Linked DNA regions of Rhinolophus ferrumequinum. The protein of the gene in region 1 interacts with the protein of each later gene in a biochemical or structural test. Links are inferred from orthologs where the notes say so. Each region holds a gene or a part of one and is shown on either strand. Other genes may lie near its edges.

The links.
Region 2: the proteins of JADE1 (region 1) and KAT7 form a complex in vitro, tested with the Homo sapiens proteins (2 studies listed by BioGRID). The link is inferred for Rhinolophus ferrumequinum from reciprocal best matches to the Homo sapiens genes JADE1 and KAT7.

Annotation. Positions count from the first base shown.
Region 1 is NC_046301.1:9,161,035-9,171,720, forward strand, and holds the start of JADE1 (protein Jade-1), read left to right. Parts: upstream 1-5,910; 5' UTR 5,911-5,913; coding exon 5,914-5,932; intron 5,933-10,686.
Region 2 is NC_046304.1:33,629,527-33,640,066, reverse strand, and holds the start of KAT7 (histone acetyltransferase KAT7), read left to right. Parts: upstream 1-5,960; 5' UTR 5,961-6,151; coding exon 6,152-6,166; intron 6,167-8,565; coding exon 8,566-8,713; intron 8,714-10,540. UniProt on the Homo sapiens protein: Catalytic subunit of histone acetyltransferase HBO1 complexes, which specifically mediate acetylation of histone H3 at 'Lys-14' (H3K14ac), thereby regulating various processes, such as gene transcription, protein ubiquitination, immune regulation, stem cell pluripotent and self-renewal maintenance and embryonic development.

The DNA.
Region 1 (10,686 bases):
CTGTACAGCAGGACCTCCGTTTGGTCCCCTAGATGCTGCTCTCCCCATTTGATAGCTTGTACTTAGTGGGAGCCCTCCCCCGGTGCCCTAGACATCCCTTATTGGCTGGAGGAAGGAGCTCTCTCCCCTTCCCAGAGCAGGCACTGACCTGGGAAGCTGGAGACTTTGGAAGGGCTGGAGCAGTGAGCTGTGCCTCCATCACAGGCCGGTGCCACTGTCTCCATAGCAGTGACTGTGATCCAAGTCCCTCTCTCTCACCAGGTCATCGCAGAAGCCTCATATCTAGCCTCCCCAACTCTGTCTCACTTCCACACATCCATTCTCCATACAAAGCCCGAGTTTTTGTAAAAAAAACTTTTTAAAAAACCGCAACACTAACCCCCACGCCCCTCAACCTGGCTTCAGACTTGTTTCTCTTTGGTATCTTAATTTGTGCTAAAAGTATGAAAATCAACAAAATTAAGACAACCAAAATCAAAAACAAGCAAAGGGGGAAAAAAAAGGAAGAAAGAACCTCAAGAAAAAAATAATTTAGTGGGTACTGACACCAACAAAAAACGTGTGGGTTATTGGCCTTCCACTCAATCATTTCTTATAATTGAAGGTTGTAACCACTTACCTGGCTGTTCCGGACTGGTGGCCTCATCGACTGGCCAGACAAGGAGCTCTAGTCCTAATCTTTTACCCATGACCTCCTATTTCTTCTCATGGGGTTCAGGCATAGGCTGAATAGGCTTCCCAACTTTACTCTTCTTGTTCAAAGTATGCCCACTTATCCGCTTTGAAACACATCCCTTCCCACCCAAATAATATCATTTAAAAATGTCAATAAAAAGTTATTTTCTGTCATTTAGTTATTAATTTTTTTTAATTACTTGACAACCTAAGACCTCTTTATAACATGTTTTGTTTGGGGCATAAATTCAAAATTCCAAACAAAGTACAAATAAAGTTTTAGAACACAACCCATTTTATTCATGAGACCACTTGTGCACTAAAAAATTCTCTCTATGCGTCATAATGCGTACCAACTGGCAATGATATTGGCCAGTAAGAATTTCTTGCACATTTTATTAAAGGAATGAGATAGATTGGACTTTAGTGCATGCATCTACCTCCCTTCAAATATGAACAATTCTGAATCTCTTGTCAAGGTCTTATAATTCTTTACTTACAGAGGAAACACAAACGAGATAACAAGTAAACATCTGTAAGTGTAATCATGTATGGTTCCCAAATCAGGAATATGAATGTAAATATCCAAAATTTTATTACATAAAAGTCCATTATTATGGAAGAAAATAATTAAACTGTGTATGACTATAGCAAAATTTAAGGGATATGTAGAATTATAATTATCACGAAGAACACTGATCATATCAGAAAATACTATAATCTGATATTTCAACTACACTTACTACTATGTAGCTATTTTCTTGAATGTCCTTTCATCCATGATAATAAAGTGTGGATTAACAACTTTACGGTGATCCTCAATGATTTGGTACCGGAAGACAGTAAGTGACAGAGTGGAACCAGAAACATATATTCCTAGCTGTCAGCTTAATACTTCTTATTCTAGACTGCATTACCTGTACTGCTGAAAGGCAAACTGTGTCATTGCCTTTCCCATTTTAAAAATAGGTTTATAAAAGTTGCCTCAGTGGTCTGATAGCAAAAGACAGCTATTATTTAAAAAATGTCAACAGTTGATCATTAATGACCAAATATCTTTTTACATGTTCCTCACTGATTCAAATTGTCTTCCATTTCTTCAAATAATCACTTTTTAAGTTTGGTAAGAACAATAAAAAATTAGAAGTTGGATTTGATCTTATCTATCAATCTCTGTGGGGAAACTAAGGCCCAAAGAGATTTTTAGTGTGGGCTGATGGGAGTCTCCTGACTTCTAGTCCAGGACTGTTTTACAGCACATGGCACTACCTCACCCATAGTATTCTGAAGAATTGGCATCGTTGAGAGGATGTCCCTGGGAACATCAGTCCTGATCAGTGTATCAACATGGGACATTTGTGTGCTGTTTTACCTCTTTATTTATTTCATCCATTTACTCAGTACTTTGATTTAGTTGCCTGATGTTTTGAGAGTGGGGATAGTCAGAAAAATGAGTAAAACTGCAAGTGACAAATGTGATTTAAAATTTTCTTTTAGGGAGAATGAGTGAAGAAAGTCTGGCTGGAATTTAGAAGTTACAATTTTCCATGGAAAGAAGATCAAGAAAGGCATATGGGAGGGATGGCCAAAGGAGCTGATAACTTCCTACTGCCCTGGCCTCTGCTGGGCAGTTTTATGGGGTTGTCTCATTCCCCTTAACAACCTTTTAGGTAGGGGTTGTTAACCTCATTTTATTATTACTTATGGAGAAATGGAGGCTCAGAGTTCTGTAATTTACCCCACAGTCACACAAGCTGATAACTGGTAGAGCCAGGTCCAAGACAGGATCTGTCTGGCTACAAACCACCTGTGTGCTTTTACTTCTACAGTAGAGTATGTGTAAGGTGAAACAATGAAAATAATAACTGCAAAGCGATACTAATAATAGTAATAATGATAACATAGTGCTTTACATGTGTGATCTCTTTGAACAGGATTAAGTAAGCACATGAATAGGGCTGATGTGGTGTCTTTGTATCCTTCGTGAGTGAAACAGTATATGTCTCTACTTAAGATTTCCTTTGGCTTACTTTGTTTTCTGAAAAATAATTGAACGGCTCAATTAATTTTGTTTTGATGCATTTATCAGATTATTATGTTCTTGATGTGGATGGATGGGTTGGTGTGTGATTGTGTGAAATCCAACCTGAGATATTCAGAATTCTTCCAGTGCATAAGTATATACCTTTGGGTTCGATATTCAATTTTGTAATTAGTAATCACTGTTCCTGTTTACTGAATGGGAGTTTTTATCCGTACCTTTTGAAGCTGAATGTCATATACACCCATAATTCTTTAGGGGGGTACATGAAAGAAATGTTAAAAACATGAAAAAGCAAGTTTGTAGTCTGTGGAAAATCAGTAACACTCATTTTTATACATAAATACCCCCCCAAATGAATCTCTGATGACTAATTTTATATTAGTCTGCAACTCCAGTTTTAGCATTAGGCTCAAGTCTCCTATATGGAAGGCTACGTCCAGTCCTGTAATACTTGTCCTGTGGAACAGAAAAGTGGTGTCAGTTGATAATCAGTCTCCTAATGAATTAACGCTCATCTGCAATTATCAGTTCGATACTAACTTAGGTAAAGACGTGTTCCAGCTCCAAAGTTGGATTCAGTGGATCTAAAAATGTCATGCTAATTCACAACTCCCTAAAACTGTTACTACAAAACAGAAGAACTATTTATTTTGCTATTCAGTCTAAAAATAAATCCTTTCACCCAAATTGTACGCCTTAATAGCCACATTTTTATCTACATAATTTTAAACTAATTTGAAAGAATCCATGTCTAGGTGCCGTGCAGTCAGACAAGAGTTGGAAGTGAGACAGTTTGGAGATAATGTAAAAGCCCACCTCCCTGCTGGGGACACCTCAAGAATTTCTAGCCTCACAAGGGAGGTGAAGGAAGAGATTTTAAAAGCTGAGCAGCGCTAGCCCTCGCGGACGCAGGCCGAACCAGCTGCGGCGAGGGCCGCGAAGAGTTAAGGAGGGACGGAGCCCCCCGCGCCGCGGGCTCCCCGCGCGCTCCCTCCGCCCTCCTGTCCCCACCCTCTCGTTTTGGCAAGGGATTAAAGTGCTCCCCCCTGTGGCAGCAGTGACCCAGAAATGAGTTTGATTCACACAGTCCTTCCTCCATAACAAGCCAAACGCCCGTCCGAGAGTGCCTCCCTGCGCGAGTGCCGAGTGTGTGTGCGCCGGCGAACGCAGGGGCCCGCCCGGCTCCCCGCCCGCCCGCCCGCCCTCCGCGGCCCGAACTCATGCGGCACCGAGCGAGCGGCGCGGAGCCCAGCGCCTCGGCCGAACCCCTCCGCAGCAGGTACGCGCGCGGGCCGCGGGGGGCGCGCGGGGGGGCGCGCCGCGCGTGTGTCCGCGTGTGGGTCCGTGTGCGCGTCCCGATCCCGCGGCGGCGGCGGCTGCAGGACGAGCCGAGAGGCTCAGCCATATTTGATGGTTTTGTTGCTTTGCTCGGGAGTTCTCGGGAGTAATTTAATGCCGAAGGTCGCTGCCTAGTGGAAATAATATAGTACGTCATTAATATGGCGCCAAAAGATTGGGTTCTCGATATGTAGCGAGGAGGGAGGGCAGGCAGCCGCCGAGCGCAGCCTTACTATCCCACCAGTAACTTGGGCATTGCCGGGGCGGGGGCCAGAGGAGGAGGTGGAAGAGAGGATGATTTTTGGAGCCTGAGAATTGATTTATGTTGGATCAGTAAGTTTTATTACGATTATTTTTCCATTTTGGGGGGGCTGAAGACTTGCAGCTTTTTCTTTTGGGTTTGCGAAGAACATGCGGTTTTCAGGTGAAGCATCAATTAAACGCGTTCAGGCGCAGACGCCGAGTTGAGTTGGCTTTAGTTTATAAAATTAAAAAAAAATCCCCAAAGTGCATTAGGCTGCATGAAAGTGGAAAGCATAGTAGCAACTTGGTAGACAGATGGCAATGGCAGAACGCAGGTTCGCATACATATATGAATCCAGAGTGTGTGTGACCGTGGAGGGGGGACGACTGGATTTCTCTAAACATAGGTGTGTGTGTGTGTGTGTGTGTGTGTGTGTGTGTAGGTACATTTGTGTAGGGTGGCCGCAGCCCCGGCTCTTGTCACCGCGTCACCACATGTCCAAAATATTCATTGCATCTATTCAAGGGCAGTGAGTAGGGGGTGGAGGGACAGCTTGGCAATTTAGATTCTTCCAAATTGGGTTTCCAATGATCAGACCTTTTACTTACAGCGAGACTGCCTGTAAAGTGTAAAACCTTCCATCGGTGAAATGAGGAAGGAGTTGCATTGATAGAGCAAAGTACCGATTAACCATGAACTTAAAACGGATTGCAAATTGAAACCTTTGGCACCATCTGCAAATTGTGGGGGTGGGGTCGCTTGGTGTTCGCTGCCTTAAATGAACGTGCAGTGTGTACCCCGGTACTGCAAGTTGCAAAGCCCTTTAGTGCACGTGTCTTATGCCTGTGAGTGTGTTTGTGAGTTGGGGGCTGTTGTTCGGGAGCCAGCAGGCTTTCCGGGTTGTTGGCGCTGGCTTGCAAATGCGGGAGAGGGATGGAATGTGGAATGTTGACCGGGGAACCGAATCCTGTCGGAACGGTCCCATTTGCTGGAGAAATTCGATCCCTTCCACCTCCTTCCCGCTCCCCCCCGCCCGCCTGCGGGCAGGAGGCGGGGCCGAGGACTCGGCTGCTGCTCAAAGTGGCGGAGCGCGGCGGCGGGAGGCAGGTGCACGGCACCCGCCGGTGGGGGTGCCTCAACTTCCGCGGGCGTTTAAATAGCCTCTCTCCCCTCCCACCGGTAATAGGTGACCTGGCGGCCGAGGGCGGCGGGGGGGGGGGAGGGAAAGGGGGAGACCCGGGAGCGAGCCTTCGCGGCACGTGGGCAGGTGCTGGGTGGCCCCGGGGCCAACTTTTGTAGCCCGCCTCTGGCGTTGGAGGAGAGCCGGCTCCATGTGGAAATGGGGGCGGGCGGCAGCCGAGGCGCTGCTTTCTCGGCCGCGGCCGGAGCGTCACCTAACGGTCCCAGCAGCGCTGCCGGGGCCCGGGGTGGGGGGCTACAGGGGCGGGGACGCCCGGCCGGCCGCGCCCGCCCCGCACAAAGCCCGCGGCGTGGGGGCGACCGCCGCGCCCCCGCCCAGAGAAAGGCTCGAAGCCCGTGGCTGTCCCCGCGCCGATTCCGGCAGGCGGCCGCAGGCGTTTGTTTGTTGGTTCCGCGCCGCCTTCCTAGCCGGATGGCTTCCTGTGACAGAGGTGATACACAGTTTCCAGAACTGTCTGGGGGCGGGAGTGGGAGCGGGAGCCGAGCCCGCTCGGGGCTGCTCGCCGCCGCTCCCTTCGCACAACCGTTTCTCGCCGAGCGCCCGCCCAGCCCGAAGGTGCCGCCCGGGAGGGACTCGGGGAGGGGGACGGCGCTGCCGTTTCCAGCGGCGCAAGTGGCTTCTGGACGCGAGGGAGCGTTTGATTTGCAACTGGGGCCGAGCGGATTGGTGCAGCTGGCGGCGGCGGGGCGGGAGGAGCGGCGGCGGCGGCGGGGGGTGGCCACTTTCGAATGGAGAGGGCGGCGGCGGGGACGTCGCTGCGGAGGGAGCGGCGCTTGGTTGCGCCACGAGAAGGTGTCATCACTGCACCGGGGCTAATTCCGGCGGAGGTGCCGGGAGTTACTTTCCCCTCCTCCCGCGCTGTTGTTTCTGTCGCCTCGGGAGCAGAGGGAAGGAGGGCGGGAGGGGGCGGCGCCGCGGCCCTGCGTGCACCCGGGCGGGTGGCGGGAGCCGCGCGGTGTGCTCTCTGCGCGGGGCGGCGGCCCAGCTCCCCACATCCCCGCATCGCCCTCCTGGGGTCCCAGCCTTCTCCCCTCAGACCCCCCCACACCCTCCCCTTCCCAGGCGGGCCCCCCATCCCGGGGTCCTCCCGGCTCTCGTCACCCCGCCTCCCCAGCACCCGGGCCCAGGCTTTCCCACCCCGGGCTCCCCCTCCCGGGCGCGCAGGGGCGGCCGCAGTCCCGGCGCCGGGTGAATGCAGCGAGCAAACAAAAAAGCGGGCGATTTAAACGTGCCTTCGAAACCCGTTAGGAATGCGTCGTCAGCCGGAGGCCGTTTAAAAGCAGCTTTGGCTGGCTTTCTAGTAAGGAGGAGGCGGGCGCCCCACCTCGCCTCGGCGGGGACGGGGATCTGTCGCCCTGTTTACTCCGGCCAAGAGGGAATTTAAAATTTCTTTTTGTAAAGTGATAGCTGCAGTCGAATGACTTAAAACAGCTACATTTTCAGGAAATTGGGAGAGAATCTGAGGTTTCCTTTGATGGGAACGCTTGGGGGCTTCTTTCCCAGAGGTTTTTATTAGGTGATCTATTTTTCCTTTTTAGAAACCCGCTGTGAAAGACTAGCTCTCTAGTTACATACTCGTAGCCCAAGGCTAATACCTTACAAAGCTAATGAACTAGTTTTAAGAGACAGAGGAAATTATTTTCCTGAAAGCTGATTTAGGTAGTGATCCACCAATGGTTAGGGATTACTTCTAGTAAGTTGCATTTTGATAAAAATCACTGATAACCATTATTTAATCACTTCTAGGTGGAAAAGGAAACCTTCCAAGTAACCACACTTAAATTAGTGCATCAATAATTTGTTGGGGAGTGGGCAGCACATGTTGGAGAGATACTTAGGATATTCTTGTGGGGGGACAACCTTCTAGCAAATAACTGCAGCCTAGAATTTTTATTGCCCTTCTATCCCTAATATTTCAGTCTCATTTAATGTCACTTTCAAATCAGATGACTTTCTGATTGCTTGGTATTTTGCTTATGTTTACATGATCTGGCATTTTCACTTCCACATTCAGAACTAATAGTTTTTTCAGCTATTTAAGTGTTATGTTTTCCCATATCTCCCTTCATCCTTACACTGGCCCGAGATAAAGGTTGTTACCTGACATGCAGTAGAACTTGAACATGATTCCATCTTAAGAGCATACATCGGCTGCTTTCTAGTAAGAAAAGTTGGGTTCATTGCCACAGAGATTTTAACTTTGACAAACTAGCTAGATGTTCATTTTAAAGGGAAAAAAACCCCACGATATTAGTTCCTTCTCCATCACTTGACAGGTTTTCAGCCTACAATCCAGTGTTTTAGTTTTATGTTAGTTAGCAAGGTTGAAAAAATAGCAATAAAGGGAAATCAGCGAAAAATGATTAGTGTGCCTGAGAGTGAGAGAGAGAGAAAACTCTTTGGGGTTTAAGGAAATGCTATTATTTTAGAAATGACTATTGCTTAGCCCAGAGGCTTGGGGAGAAGGATTAACCAAAAAAAACAAAACAAATCTTGGAGGACTTGATGAGAATAAAAGCAGATCTCCATGTGTCTCACCTATAGTAGGCACTTCATAAATACTGATGTTTGACGTCAAGGAGCCCTTGGTGACTTAAAGTATTATTACAGAAGTGGTGTTACATGTATATTGTTGAAACTCAGAAAATGCAGAGAAGCAAATATAATAACATTCCTACCACCCAGAGATCACCATTGCATCACTTTCCAGGCAATTGTGTATGCATATGTATGTATGTTTTAATAAAAAAGAGATCATACTGTATATAAAGTTCTGTAAGGGGTGTTTTTCCCCTGCCAGCTAGCTTGGGAAGTTTTCATCTCATCTATTACTGGGACATACTCAGATTCCCTCAGTTGGCCGCAAAATACAACAGCAGCTTTGTCTAAAACTGTACCGTCGAGGATCATTTATTACACCTGGTTATTTCTCATAAGTGGGTTTTAATCTATAGTAACTTTCTGACAGAACCTCTGGCATTTAGGAGACAAGCCTTTGGAATTAATCATGACTGGATTTTTAAAAAGTTGGAAGTCAAAATAGCATTTTATTGTAATCTGAAAGTCTTAGATTTGGAGATTCTGTTTGAAAAGACTAAAGAAATTTGCCTGATGTATATATATCTCCACAGACTTGTTGGAAAAAATTATCAGCTGTTTCTTTCAGTACTGAGTTGGAACAGCGAACACCAAACCATCAAACACTGATCAGATCATGTCTATAGGATTGTGTCAGGAGTGGAGGAGGTGTATACATCCTCACAGTTCTGCCTCCTGACTTCCTATTGGTGAAGCTTTTCCCTCCTTTAGTGTTATGGGTACCTGTTATTCCAGTACAGTTATGGTTTGTCAGAATTTGCATTATTTTTCCCACAAGGAGAATAAAATAAACATCCTCTGGAGGAAAATACATTTAGCCAGTACATCTTGCTTTTAATTTGGATTGGGATTAAAAAGTTGGGCTTGTTCAAACGGTGAGTTATATCAGTGTTACACTTCTTTCCTCCCTGTCCAAGCCTACAGGTTACAACATTGGTACCATATTCAGCAATGCCCTTTTTATAAAAAAGGTTTTTTTTTTAAATAAAAGCTGGCTTTGCTTGGAATTTTTAGTTTCTTACGTGGTAGGAACCTCAATTGGGAAAGTATTTTAATTCCTGGGACAGTAAGTTTCCTTGACGATTATGTTCAATCTTTTCTTCACTTTCAAGATGTTGCAGCACTTTATGTGACATTTACTTAAAATCTGGACAAGTTAATATTTATTATTTTGGTATGTGACATTTCAGAAAGTTGAGACTTAATTGAAGGAGAATCTATTGTCATGTGCGTGGTGTACTTAAAAATATTGGTCTGATTGTGAGGGTAAAGATTTTGATGTTTTCCCAACTGGTGTGCTCAGATGGAGTAAGTTACTCTGCATTCCTAACAAATGAAAGAGTGGCCCTGGACGGCATCGGGTTTATAAGTTAGCTAGAGTGGAGTGTCATGAAAGGGAGAGAAAGTCTAGTCTAAGAGGGTATTGATGCTGACTCAGGCAGTGTTACTGTGGCCTTAACTAGCCTAGACCTTGAATGATTATTACTAAGGACGTCTTTCCTCACCTGAGAGCAGCAACAAAAAGATTGTCAGACGTGGAGTGGAAAGCTTAGTCGCTGGTGACGGGACTGTGTATTTCCATTTTGAATTCCTTTATTAACCCTAGACCAGATGTGCACTTAATGGAGGTCCAGGGACCAAACTTGGTTACTCTACAGCCAGCCTAGTATTTACTTTTTGTGTTTGGTTCTTCAGGTTGAGTCAAGAAGTAATAAGGTGACCGAGAACAGTTGAAGTAAGTTCATTTTTAAAACCTTAGGTTCGGTTGGGCTTACTTGTAGAAGAAGTTAAACCACAGTTTTATCTTGTTTTGAAAGCACTCCCAACTGGTAATAACATATTTTTAATATTGATCATTTAGTGTCTGCACAGGGGATTCTATTAATTTGAAACTTCATGACAGCTTCTAAGACACTTTCTAAGCAGTTATTTTAAGTGAGGATTTCAGTGGTAAGAGTCCAAGCTGAAGAATAAAATGAGCATTTGTTTCCTGTACCCCTTACTCTTGGGTAAGGAGTCAGTATTGGCTTAACAAGTTGCTGGAGTTTGAGCTGTGTGGTTTGCTTTTGTTTAGCCCAAAGTACACTAACACGATTTAAGATTTTTCTTGATTACTCACGGCCAGCTTTATGAGCATCAGTTATTTCTGCGTTGAGATTAATGACGCATTTAAGAAGTGTGGGCAGAGTCCTGGTGGAGTGTAACTTTTTAAAGTCAAGGGCTCTTTTGAGCCCTAAAGCTGTGGAAACTCCCCAAGAAAAAGCAAGTAGCCCTGAAACTTGCATGTCATTTCAGGGATTCGCTGGATACTTTTAAATGTATCCTGGCTTCCAGTTTAGTGTTTAAATTCTGGTGACTTCTTTTTATGATTTCTGTCTGATCCTTTTATATCACTGTTAACCACGAACTGTAGTTAAAATGCCTGTCTAGAACAGTCATTTTTCTGCTTGTTGGTTATTGGCTTGAAAATCAGATAAGAAGCTTGTTAGAAGTTTTTATAACTTAGTGTACACTGGCCCCAAGTAGGAGCCTCAGGGGTTTTCCTTTGAGAAAAATTCATGGGTTTCTAGACTTGGCCTTTATTTA
Region 2 (10,540 bases), on another chromosome or scaffold:
CACAGTTTACAAATGACAGCATGCAGGTCATTTTTCATCCCCCTGAAGTTGACTGGTTTGGGAAACATTTTTTTCTGGGACTCAGTTTCTCCCAGGAAAATAAAAAGTGTCTGCAGAACCACCTTCATGGTTCCTACAGTGGGCAAGAATGACTATAGTCTGTAAAATAGCCCTCAACTCTTGCTGAAGTCAGACATATCCTGCCTCTTCATTGTATCACATATGCCATCTACACATTCTGTTCACAATCGCATTTTCTTTCTCAATAGCATGCATACTTGACAAAGAGTTTACCACTAGGTAACTAGAAAGCCAGAGCGCAAGTGAGGAGAAAAAGACTAGAGAAATAACCATGAAGCAAATGTTGTGCCTTCTTAATAACACTGACTCTGTAACTGAATGTGGCTCAGACAGAGAATCTATTTATCTATCTATCTATAATTCAAACTTAAAAGAAAAATCATTAAGACCCAGTAGAGAAATGAATAATAGGATTTCACAGAAGAGGAAACAGAACTTGTAAATACACACATGGAAGACTGAAGTGTATCTTAACTACAGCAACAAAATTAAAAGCACATTTGAAGTGCAGTTTTCATTTCTACTAAAGTGGTAACACTCAGTTCTGGGAACAATGTCTTAAAATTAGCACCCTTACACAATGATGGTGACACTTTAAATGTGGCCAAGTCTTTGGGGAAAGAAATCAAGCAATATGTAAGAGGTAGAAATAAAAGCAAGAGAGAGCTACAAATGCATGCAAATACTCACTGCAACATTATCTAACATAAAACACCCTCAATAACCTCACGTAGCAGAGTGAGAGTACATTATGCCACAGTACAAGGTAATGCTACACAGTGATTACAATTATGAAGACTATTAGAGGAACATGGAAAATGTTGAGAATGTGTAAAAAATATGAAATTTCATGTAAACAATGAATGCATCTATACAAAAATATGCACATGTAATAAAAACGTGGAGAAAAATTGGAAGGCAATATATAAAAAATAAAAATAGCTTTGTGGTAGCACTGAGCTTAAGAATGTCTTTTATTTTCTTAAAAAGGTAGTGTTATTACACTGGGTTAATAATTTTTGAAAAGTGGAGGGGGTTGGGGCAGGTGAGTCATCCTCCCCCAGCCCCCTGCTATACACTTTGTCCCACATCATCAGTTTGAGGAGGAGAAGGACCACATCTATTTATTCACAGTGAGCATTCAGTTCCCATCCCAATGCCTCGCCCTTATCAGATGCTCAATAAATAGCTGTTGAATGAATAAATGAAAATGCCTAAAGTCTAAAAAGTCTCAACCCATGATGACTGGGTACATTCCATCCTGGGGAATAAAGAGGAATTTGGTTTTGCTGGAATAAAAAAATGTAGGCCCATCCATAATGGCAATTCCCTGGTTGTCTTGATAAGTGAATTTGGGCATGGAGAACCCAGGGAGAGACCGTCTGTTAAAGCAAACCCAATTACCACCCAGGAACATATGTTGCCCTGAGGCCTCTGCTGCCATAACAACGTCGTGTAACTATAACTACAGCCCTGGAGGGCTTTGGCCCTGTCAAATATGGAAAAAGATGTCTTCATCATACCACGGCTTTATGCAGATTGACTTCCCTTGGGAGCTTGGATCAGGGAAGGGAGGTAGATGGTGGAGGAAGGCGGGAGATGATGGGCAGGAATAGGAGAACAGCTACTGAATCAGGATCAGAGTGATTTTTTTTTTTTGAGCAATTTTCAAAATGCAGTTATTTGACTGTTTAGTTTTGGTGGTTATTTATAATCCCAGCTGCAGAGGCGGGGAGCTGTGCCTGAGCCTGCTGGGCTCTGTCCAACACCTTCCCCCAGGGTGGGGCTGGGGGTGCGTGGTGGATAAGAGTGATACCAGAACCAAATGAACAAGTGGCCAAGAAGGTAAGAGAAGTCCCAGGCCATATATGGCAAGAGTAAAAAAGGAAGGACCATTAGTGACCGTCATGACTATGTTGATGAAAAGATTTTACTATGAATTGTGGTCACATCAGCAACCTCTAAGAGTCTCCCAAAGGGATAAAGACTACACCCATACGTGTACTCAGAAGTTACGAGATTGGCCTGGCTACTCTAGCTTTGTCTTAAAAAGGTCAAGGCATGCGTGCCCACCTTACAGGACAGTTAGTTATCCGTCCACAGGGAAACTGTTGTTCCTAACTCCCCCTAGGCACATAGTCAAAAAGAGGCTTAGAGGAGAGATGATGGCTGGTTCTGTGCAAGTCTTTCCTAACTGAGCCAACACGTGGCAGTGGCCACCCCATTTACTGAGCCCTTTTAGATGCCAGGCTGCGAGACTGAAGTTGGAGACAGTGTGGCCAGCCAGGCAAGGCTCCCAACCTCCATGAGCTCCCAGGCCTTTGAAGCAAACAATGAACAACTACACTTTTTATTTGAAATATGGGACCTATCATTTTACTGGCAAGGGGAGCATTTGAAAGGAAATTGAGGGATCTTTTAGGGAGTTCACAAATGTAACTGAGGAGACAAGATATAGTTACAAGAAAGAAAATGCACAAGGACATACCCAAAGGATTGGCCCCACTACCCTTGCCCTGTTCAGTTCTCCCTCCACTCCAGGGAATGTTATTATAGCAGCGTTGTAACCGGTCTCCTGGCCTCAGGACTCCCTGCCACTCTGTTCAGTATCCATCACGGCTTCCAGAAAGAGATCTTTGAAGTGCAAGTGTGATCGTGGGACTCCTCTGCTTAAAGTCCTTCAGCGATTCTCCATCACCTCCAGGCCAGGCTCCTTAGCAGGGCATTCAAGGCTCTGCATGAACTTGTTCCCCAAATCATTCCTGTCTCTTTTTTTGGCAACTCCACCATGCCGTTAGTCACTCGCACAACACACAATGCTGCTCTACTTCTCTGTGCTTTTACACATGCTGTTTCCTTTGCACAGAAAGCCCCTATTCTCCTTGTCCACTGGTAAACGTACTTGTCCTATAAAATCCCACTCTTATTTCACCTCTTCTATCAATCCTTTCCTAAACTCTCCAGTCAAAACACTCCACTCCCTCTTCTGCACCACTTCCGAAGCTTGCTCATCCTTCTGTTTTCCTATTAATAATACTCCATAGTGTTTTGGAACAAAGAGCTTACTGGCCTGGGGAAGCATGGTGTTTTGTCCTCAGTGGCGTGACTCAATGCCTGGTATACAATGCCTGGGTAATTATTCTGTGTCTCTTGAGCTGAAGTAGAACAGACAAAAGCAAAGAGCCATTGAGACCATATAAAGATATATTCACAAACATTACGATGTCATAGCCATGACTAGGGTGACTGGAATAATAAATATGAATAACAACGACCATTTCCTGAGCACTTACTTGGTAAGGAACTGTGCTTTACAACAATCATCTCCTTTAATCCTGGCGACAACCCTGTGAGGTGGCTATTAGTGTCTCCATGTCACAAATGAGAAAACTGAGGCACAGATAAATTTAAAAACTTGTCCAAGAGCAATGCAGATAGAAAGTGGCAGAGCTGAAATTCAAATCCAGGTCTGACATCAAAGCCCTGTACTGGACACTAGTAGAGCTGATGAATAAACAAATAGGAGTTCTATGTTCCTATTATTTGTCTGGGAGGGACAGAGGAGAACAGAAGAGCTACCAAATTGTATGAGAAAAAGTGTAAATGTAGCAGTAAGTGCAAAATACCATAGCATGCTCTACTACCTAGGAAATAATAAATCAGGACTTTCTGAAGAAAGTAAATTTTAAAGAAGGTTGGGAAACGTACCGAGGCAGGAAGAACAGCAGAGCTACCTATGTGAAGTCTGGCAGATGAGGATGGACAGAAGAGCACTGGTCAAAGCCTTTGAAACCAGTATCAGTTCCGGCTTCAAGAGTTAACTGTGTCATGACGAAAAGGACACTCGAAGTAAAGACTATGTTTGGTTCAAAAGAAGAAAGGAAGAAAGAAAATAGCTCTCAGGATTCCCCTTTCCCCATTCTAAATATATAGCTTTCATCTCAAGTCCACATTTTCCTTATATTTCTATCCTATTGGTGTTAGCTTTTTCACGCCGCCAGAGTGTACACGTTCCAAGGACAAGAATCATGTCTAAATGAAACTGTAAATTCTTTTACTGTTAGCTGCAGTTTTGAAAATCTAATGAAAGAGATTAACTAATGTCAAACATTTATAAGACTGGTATTTGTATGATGAATGGTTAAGTTAGGGTACGATCTTATTCTAAAATACTAAATTCACCATCTTTGAGTGCTATACATTCAGAGACTGTGAAACAGTAAACATTCTGATTGACCAGCAAGCACTTACTGTGGGTAGAGCATGGTGTGGGCACTATTAAGGATGGTAAGAAAGAACTGAGAAATGGTCTTAACGGGGTGGCCGGTTAGCTCAGTTGGTTAGAGTGTGGTGCTAGTAACACCAAGGTTGCCAGTTCGATCCCCACACGGGCCACTGTGAGCTGCGCCCTCCTTGAAAAAAAAAAGAAAAGAAATACTCTTAACATAAGAGCTCCTTACCACTAGTTGGGGAGCCAGACATCCAAGAATGAGCTCAGGAACACACCAGTGAGTGCAAAATAACAGTAATAGTGTGAAACTAAATGCTTAAGTACTGGGCGTGGGGGATACACAAACAAGCAACTCAAGCCTTTTTCAAATAAGTTCTTATGTGCAGTTCAACCTAAGTAGATTATTCGAAGGTATTTATACTAAACACTAAAAGCCGCCTGGGTTAAAACCTGCCTAGGATATCCCCAAGGAGAATGCTGGCTGAGGGCCTGGAACTCTAACTCTGTTTAGCACATCAATCAGATGTTTACCTCCTGCTGCTTTGTTCTTTAGCTCTGCATTTTGGGAAATCTCCATCTTAGTTGGCCTCAGGTGAAACCGGGGTCCAGGATCCTAACTTAATGACTGAGCTTGCCTGGATTTCACCCAGTTGCTCTTGGTCAAGCTTTGGTCCTTTCAAGGCTTTTCCTCCAACGAGTTTAAATCCTCAAAGCCTGCTCTCCACTTCCCTGCCTTTTCTTAAGGCTCTGCATCCAGCCTTACATCCTTAACCAGATTCTCCTTCTTGGGCCCTCTCAAAGCAGGCTCTATTATTATTATTTAAATACACATGCCTCTTTTAGCTTCAGCTTCACTAAAACTATTCCTTCTTCTTCTTACCTCCCCCAACTCCTGCCTCAAGCATCTGGATTTCCAGAGGCCATTTGGGCTAAATGGGGTTCATTGCTTCTTCGATTCTGGTACGGCACCCCACGCATCCACCTTCCGCGGGCCACCCAGGGCTCTCGAACCCATAAGAACTGGGGAAGGAGGTGGCCGCTCACCACAGAACTGGGAATTCTTTGGAGCTACAACTTCTGGAGAATGGTTCTGCCTCCTTCCGCGACGTGAACGACTTACTTGCTGTTCGCTAAGGGCAAGGACAATGTCTCCTCTACCAGACAAGAAACTTCCTGATGATGGACCCTATCCTTTTGTTCCTTTTACAAGGCCCCATTCCTACCACTTTGAGACACGGGGTGGTTCTTAAAATAGTTTCTTGTGCAAAATATCCCATCTCAACTTTGAGTTTATATGGTAAACGGAAACATCCTTTAGCTAATTGGGCAACGAAGGGGTTAAATCTCAACAACCTGATGAATTCTGGGGGTTTCCTGCCTCGATTTCAGAAATTAAAACAACCGGGAAGGGAAATTTTGCCCAAGGTAAAGATGAGAAGAGTTAACTTCAACTGTCAGGCTTCTGCCCCAAACAATAATGGCTACTCACGTCCACAAAGGGTGCCATTCCCCTAACTAGAAATGGCTGGCCCCCGTTTCTACTTTGTGCCCAATTCCAGCATGGCGCTCACTAGCCTCACCAGAAGGAGCGAACTTCCCAGCACCCATCTGGCCCGTAACGTCAGGTGACGTGAGCCTCAGCCGGAAGTGAAGGAAAAAGCGCCTCAGCCCGCGGCGCCTGCGCAGAAAGCTCTAGACGCTGTGAAGCAGGAGGCACTTGGGATCGTCCGCAGGATTGGGCCTGCTACCGTGGCCGCCACGGAGCCCGCCGGAGCCACCGTTCCTACTGCTGCTGCCGCCGCTGCCCGAATCGGAACCGTCGGGCCGCAGCCGCCGGCAATGCCGCGAAGGAAGGTAAGAACGGGACAGGAGGGATGGCGGGTTTCTAAGGACAGTCGACTGGGCAACGTGACGCAGTTGGCCACGCCTCACACTCCTTGGGTTCCAACTTCCCGCTCCCCGGAACCTAGCTTGGCAACCCTCTCTTCTGTCCATACCCAACAGAAAAATGTGGGCCCGACCCTGGCCTCGGCCTGTGCTTGCAACTATTCCCGCCCTCTGCTTGCCTGGCTCGGAGGCGTTCTTCTCGTTAATTGGTCGCTGAAACGTCTAGAAGCATATTGATTGGCTGATGACACCGCCCATTTGGGCCCAACGGTCACCTCCCCGCGTGCGGGGGCGGTGTCTGGGCCAGGCTGTTCGACTTTCAGACTGGCTGTAGAGAGCGATCTCTCCTCTCTTGATTGGCTGGGCTTGGCAGTCTGTCCCGTGGGGGCGCGGTTTAGCGGGACCACTATTGGATGGCACGAATCCACGCCCTTCTGGCTGCTGATGCTGATAGGTGGAGAGGCGGAGTTTGGGAGCATTCTTTTTTTTTTTTCCGGGCGGGGGGCATAACAAAGCAGAAGAGTGGGTGGCAAAGAACCAGCGCCCACTCCCAAGGGATCCCACTCTGTCCTATTGCATCTAAGCCGTAATTTTTGCTTATTTGCTTAGTTGGACAGGCCCTAGAAAATGCAGTTAGTAAATTCAGAAACTTATACCGGACTTATGAGATCTCTTTGGGACACCCCCATCTCTTTGCCGCTGAACAAACAGGCCTACTGGAGTGTCCCAAGCCACTCATTTAGGCGGTGGCAGAGCCAGCACTGCAGAACAGATTCAATTCAGCAAATGTTTATTGACTACTTGCAGTGTTCTGGTTGCTGGGGGTTCAGAAATTAATTAGACATGATCCCTGGCTTAAGGAAATCACAGTCTGATGGGGGAAAACAAGATCCAGTAAATTCTCTACTTAGAAGTATATGTACAAAGAGTTAGGGGAGGGAAGTGAGGGAGTAAGTCAGTCTGCTCTGGAGTAAGATGGGAAGTAGATTGGTGGAAGCTGAAGAGAAGAGCTGAGTTCCAGGATGGAGCCAGGAAGGGATGGTCAGAGATAATCAGGGATTCAAGTATCTGGGTAATTGGACTAGATGACCTTTAACCCCCCCCTTCTTCCTCTGGATGTTCTGTGATGTCCATTCATTTCTGGGCAGATTACCCTTGAACTATTTGGAAAGCTGGGTAGTATTCTTGCTCATTTCTGCAGAAATATTTATTTTCACAGAGGCTTTCAAATAAAATATATTTTTTAATGTCTTCTAAAATGACCTACATTGCTAGGTGGTGCTTATGTTAAGGCTCACCAAATGCAGGAATAGTATTGGTGCCTTGCTTGGAATAGGTCCACAGTCCCCCCCCCCCCCCCCCCCCCCCGCAAATACAAAGAACTCTTGAAAATGGAAGTTTTTTTGTAACTTATTTGGTGGCAAAACCTGTCCTAAACTGTCCGGAGGCTACTTATATTTTTTGTGGGTCTCCTTGGTAGTGTGATTATATATTTTCCTGCAGGAATACTAATGTGTTTAATTATGGGCTGTTATTTGCAGGATATATGCAAAGTATTGTCTTTCCAAAAATCTAAAAAATAATGAAATTCTAAATAAAGTCCTAAGGTTTTTGAATAAAGAATAGGAGACTTGTAATCTGAAGCTCTGTATTGTTTTTTTTAGCAAATAAGCTTTCCTTTCTGGTTTAGTGTTAACGCTCAATTGATAAAAACTGTGCTTATGGCTAATCATGCCTAAGGAAGCTAAAAATCCTCTTTCTGAATGCCTACAAGTCTTTGTGTACAAGCTGCCTTTTTTGTTTTTATTTTTGTAAGCACCTTTGGCACTCGTGGAGAAACTTCAAATATAGATAACATAAGAAAGAAGAATTTTATTCTTTTTATGCTTAAGTTCTTTTGGGATCAGAGTTGTGACCATGATATTTTGAATCAGTGTATATGGCTTTTTAAAATGTGATGACTGTTCATGGAGACTTTGAACCAGAGCTACCCTAAAGTTAAATGGGGTCTAACATTTTTCTCAGTACCTTGGACTTTCTGTAAGTCCATAGTTATGGCAGCCATACCTTTTTGAATTGGGTACATTTGTTTCCAGTTTGTAATACTGACCTCCAAATAGACTTGTTTTAGAATTAAATTTGTCTTAATACAGCAAGAGTTAATTCTCCTTCATTTATTTAATAAAGGTACGTTATTTCTAGGTTGTTCCACTTAAATGCTCTAAATAACAGGAAGTTGGCTGTGGAATCCTTTTTTAGGTTTGAAGTTGGTGTTTTTGGCATCACAGTTCGTTTTATTTCCAGTGTTAATATAAACCCACAGAGTAAATGCTTCTGTGCTAATGTCTGGATCTATGGTGTTACAGAGGAATGCAGGCAGTAGTTCAGATGGAACCGAAGATTCCGATTTTTCTACAGATCTCGAGCACACAGACAGTTCAGAGAGTGATGGCACATCCCGGCGATCTGCCCGCGTCACCCGCTCCTCAGCCCGGCTGAGCCAGAGTTCTCAAGGTAAAGGCTTCCTTCTTACTGACTATGTCTCACAACTCACTGACTGGTCATCATATTGTGCTGGTTAATGTGGAAACTGGTCCCTTGGCTTGATGTAGTGACAGAATCTGGTAAAATGCAAAGGAAATGACTGCAGAAGTGTCAGGTCTTTAAAAATGGTCCCGTTGGGGTTGCTGTCCATTTTGTAGACCCAAAGGAACTATGTCTGGTATAATGGATGTATGATACATTGTATGTCTGTCTTGAGTCATTTAATTTTTTTTTTTTAGATGTTATCTTTTCCTTTTGTTAGAATGGTTTAGACTTAGGGACTTAAAGTAGTCCCTTGAACTCATTATTGGAGGGGGCCCAGTACTTGTAAAACCAAATGTTTAAGGCTGTAATATAGTCAGATACGCAATTAATAGGTATAAATAGTTGACCTAGTTATTAGTTGTAAGTGCCCAGGATTTTGCTTTGGTAGTAAACAATAGAGAATCTCGGTGTTGGAAGGTTCTCTAGTGCAAGTAGCCATCTGGGCTTAGATTTGCAGGGTACCCCTGACCCTGCCTGGCTCTGTTCTGGATTCTCATAAGGAGGAAAGAAGGTTGCAGTTAATATAGAAAGCTGATCATCAATAGATGATAATAGATTAAGGGCGGGGGAACGTGATATACTTTGAGCACTTAAATAGTGCTGATTTGGTTACTGCTATGTGAGCATGTTGCAAGATGAGAGAAAAAAAGCTTTATTTTGAATTTAACATTTCATCTAAAGTATAACTGTTGTCTCTTGCTTTCTTAATTTAAGTTTTGTTTTTAGCACAATGAGAATATTGATAAATGGTACTATAATTCAGGTACTATACTAGGAACTGGAATGCCATGAGAGAAAAATCAGTTTCTGCCCTCAAGGAGCTCACAGTTTAGTGAGAGATACATAAACTCATCATTGTAATGCATTGTGGTAAGGGCTCTGAGAGTGGTTTGCGTAGAGTACTGTGAAAGCCCAGATATGGGGCAGCCAAACTAGGGCAGGATTCCCAGATGGAAATCTTAAAGGATCTAGTAGGAATTTACAAGTTGAAAGATGGGAAAGTGTTATTATAGGCAGAAGGAACAGTATACGAATATTCAAGAGAAAGGGCATAAAGTTGTTAGAAAGTGTAGTTGGCCATGCCCTGAACACCAAAGTTTTAAATATTCAAAACAGCTAGGAAATAACATGAGCTCTGGGTCTCTTTCTAGTTATTATGCTTCATGACCATGGAGTCGCACAGTTGCTAAGGACACCATTCACAATGTAGTCTGTGTAAGGTGGTCCCTCTAAAGCAAAATACTGGAAACGGAGCCCCCTGGAGGTGTGCAAACTGATAACCTAGCTGTGTGCTAACTTTTACACAAGTTTGAGAATTTCCTTTTTTCCCTTGTTTAAAATATACTTTAATTTCAGCTTTGAATTTCCTTTGTTCCTTTTTTAGGCATCATCAGCTAGTAGATGTAAAAAAGCTGCTGGGTGCTTCAGAATAGGTTTTGCCATCCAAGAGAATTTTAAAAGCTGTGCTCTTGCCTTACCCGTTATGAATCTATTATGATTTTGTTTCAGGGAATCAGAGGGTAATCAGGAAGGAAAAAAGAGATCCCTAAAGGAAAGAAATATTTGTATATTGTTATACCCTTAGTAATAGGAGATCTCTTTTGTGATGGGGTAAGAGTAAGGGAAGAAAGAGGATGGAGCTGATATTTATAAAGTACTAGATCTACGACCAGGCATCACGTTAAGTGCTTTACATGACCTACCTCGCTTATTCCTTGTGACGAATACAAACATGAGAAATGTGCTACTAGT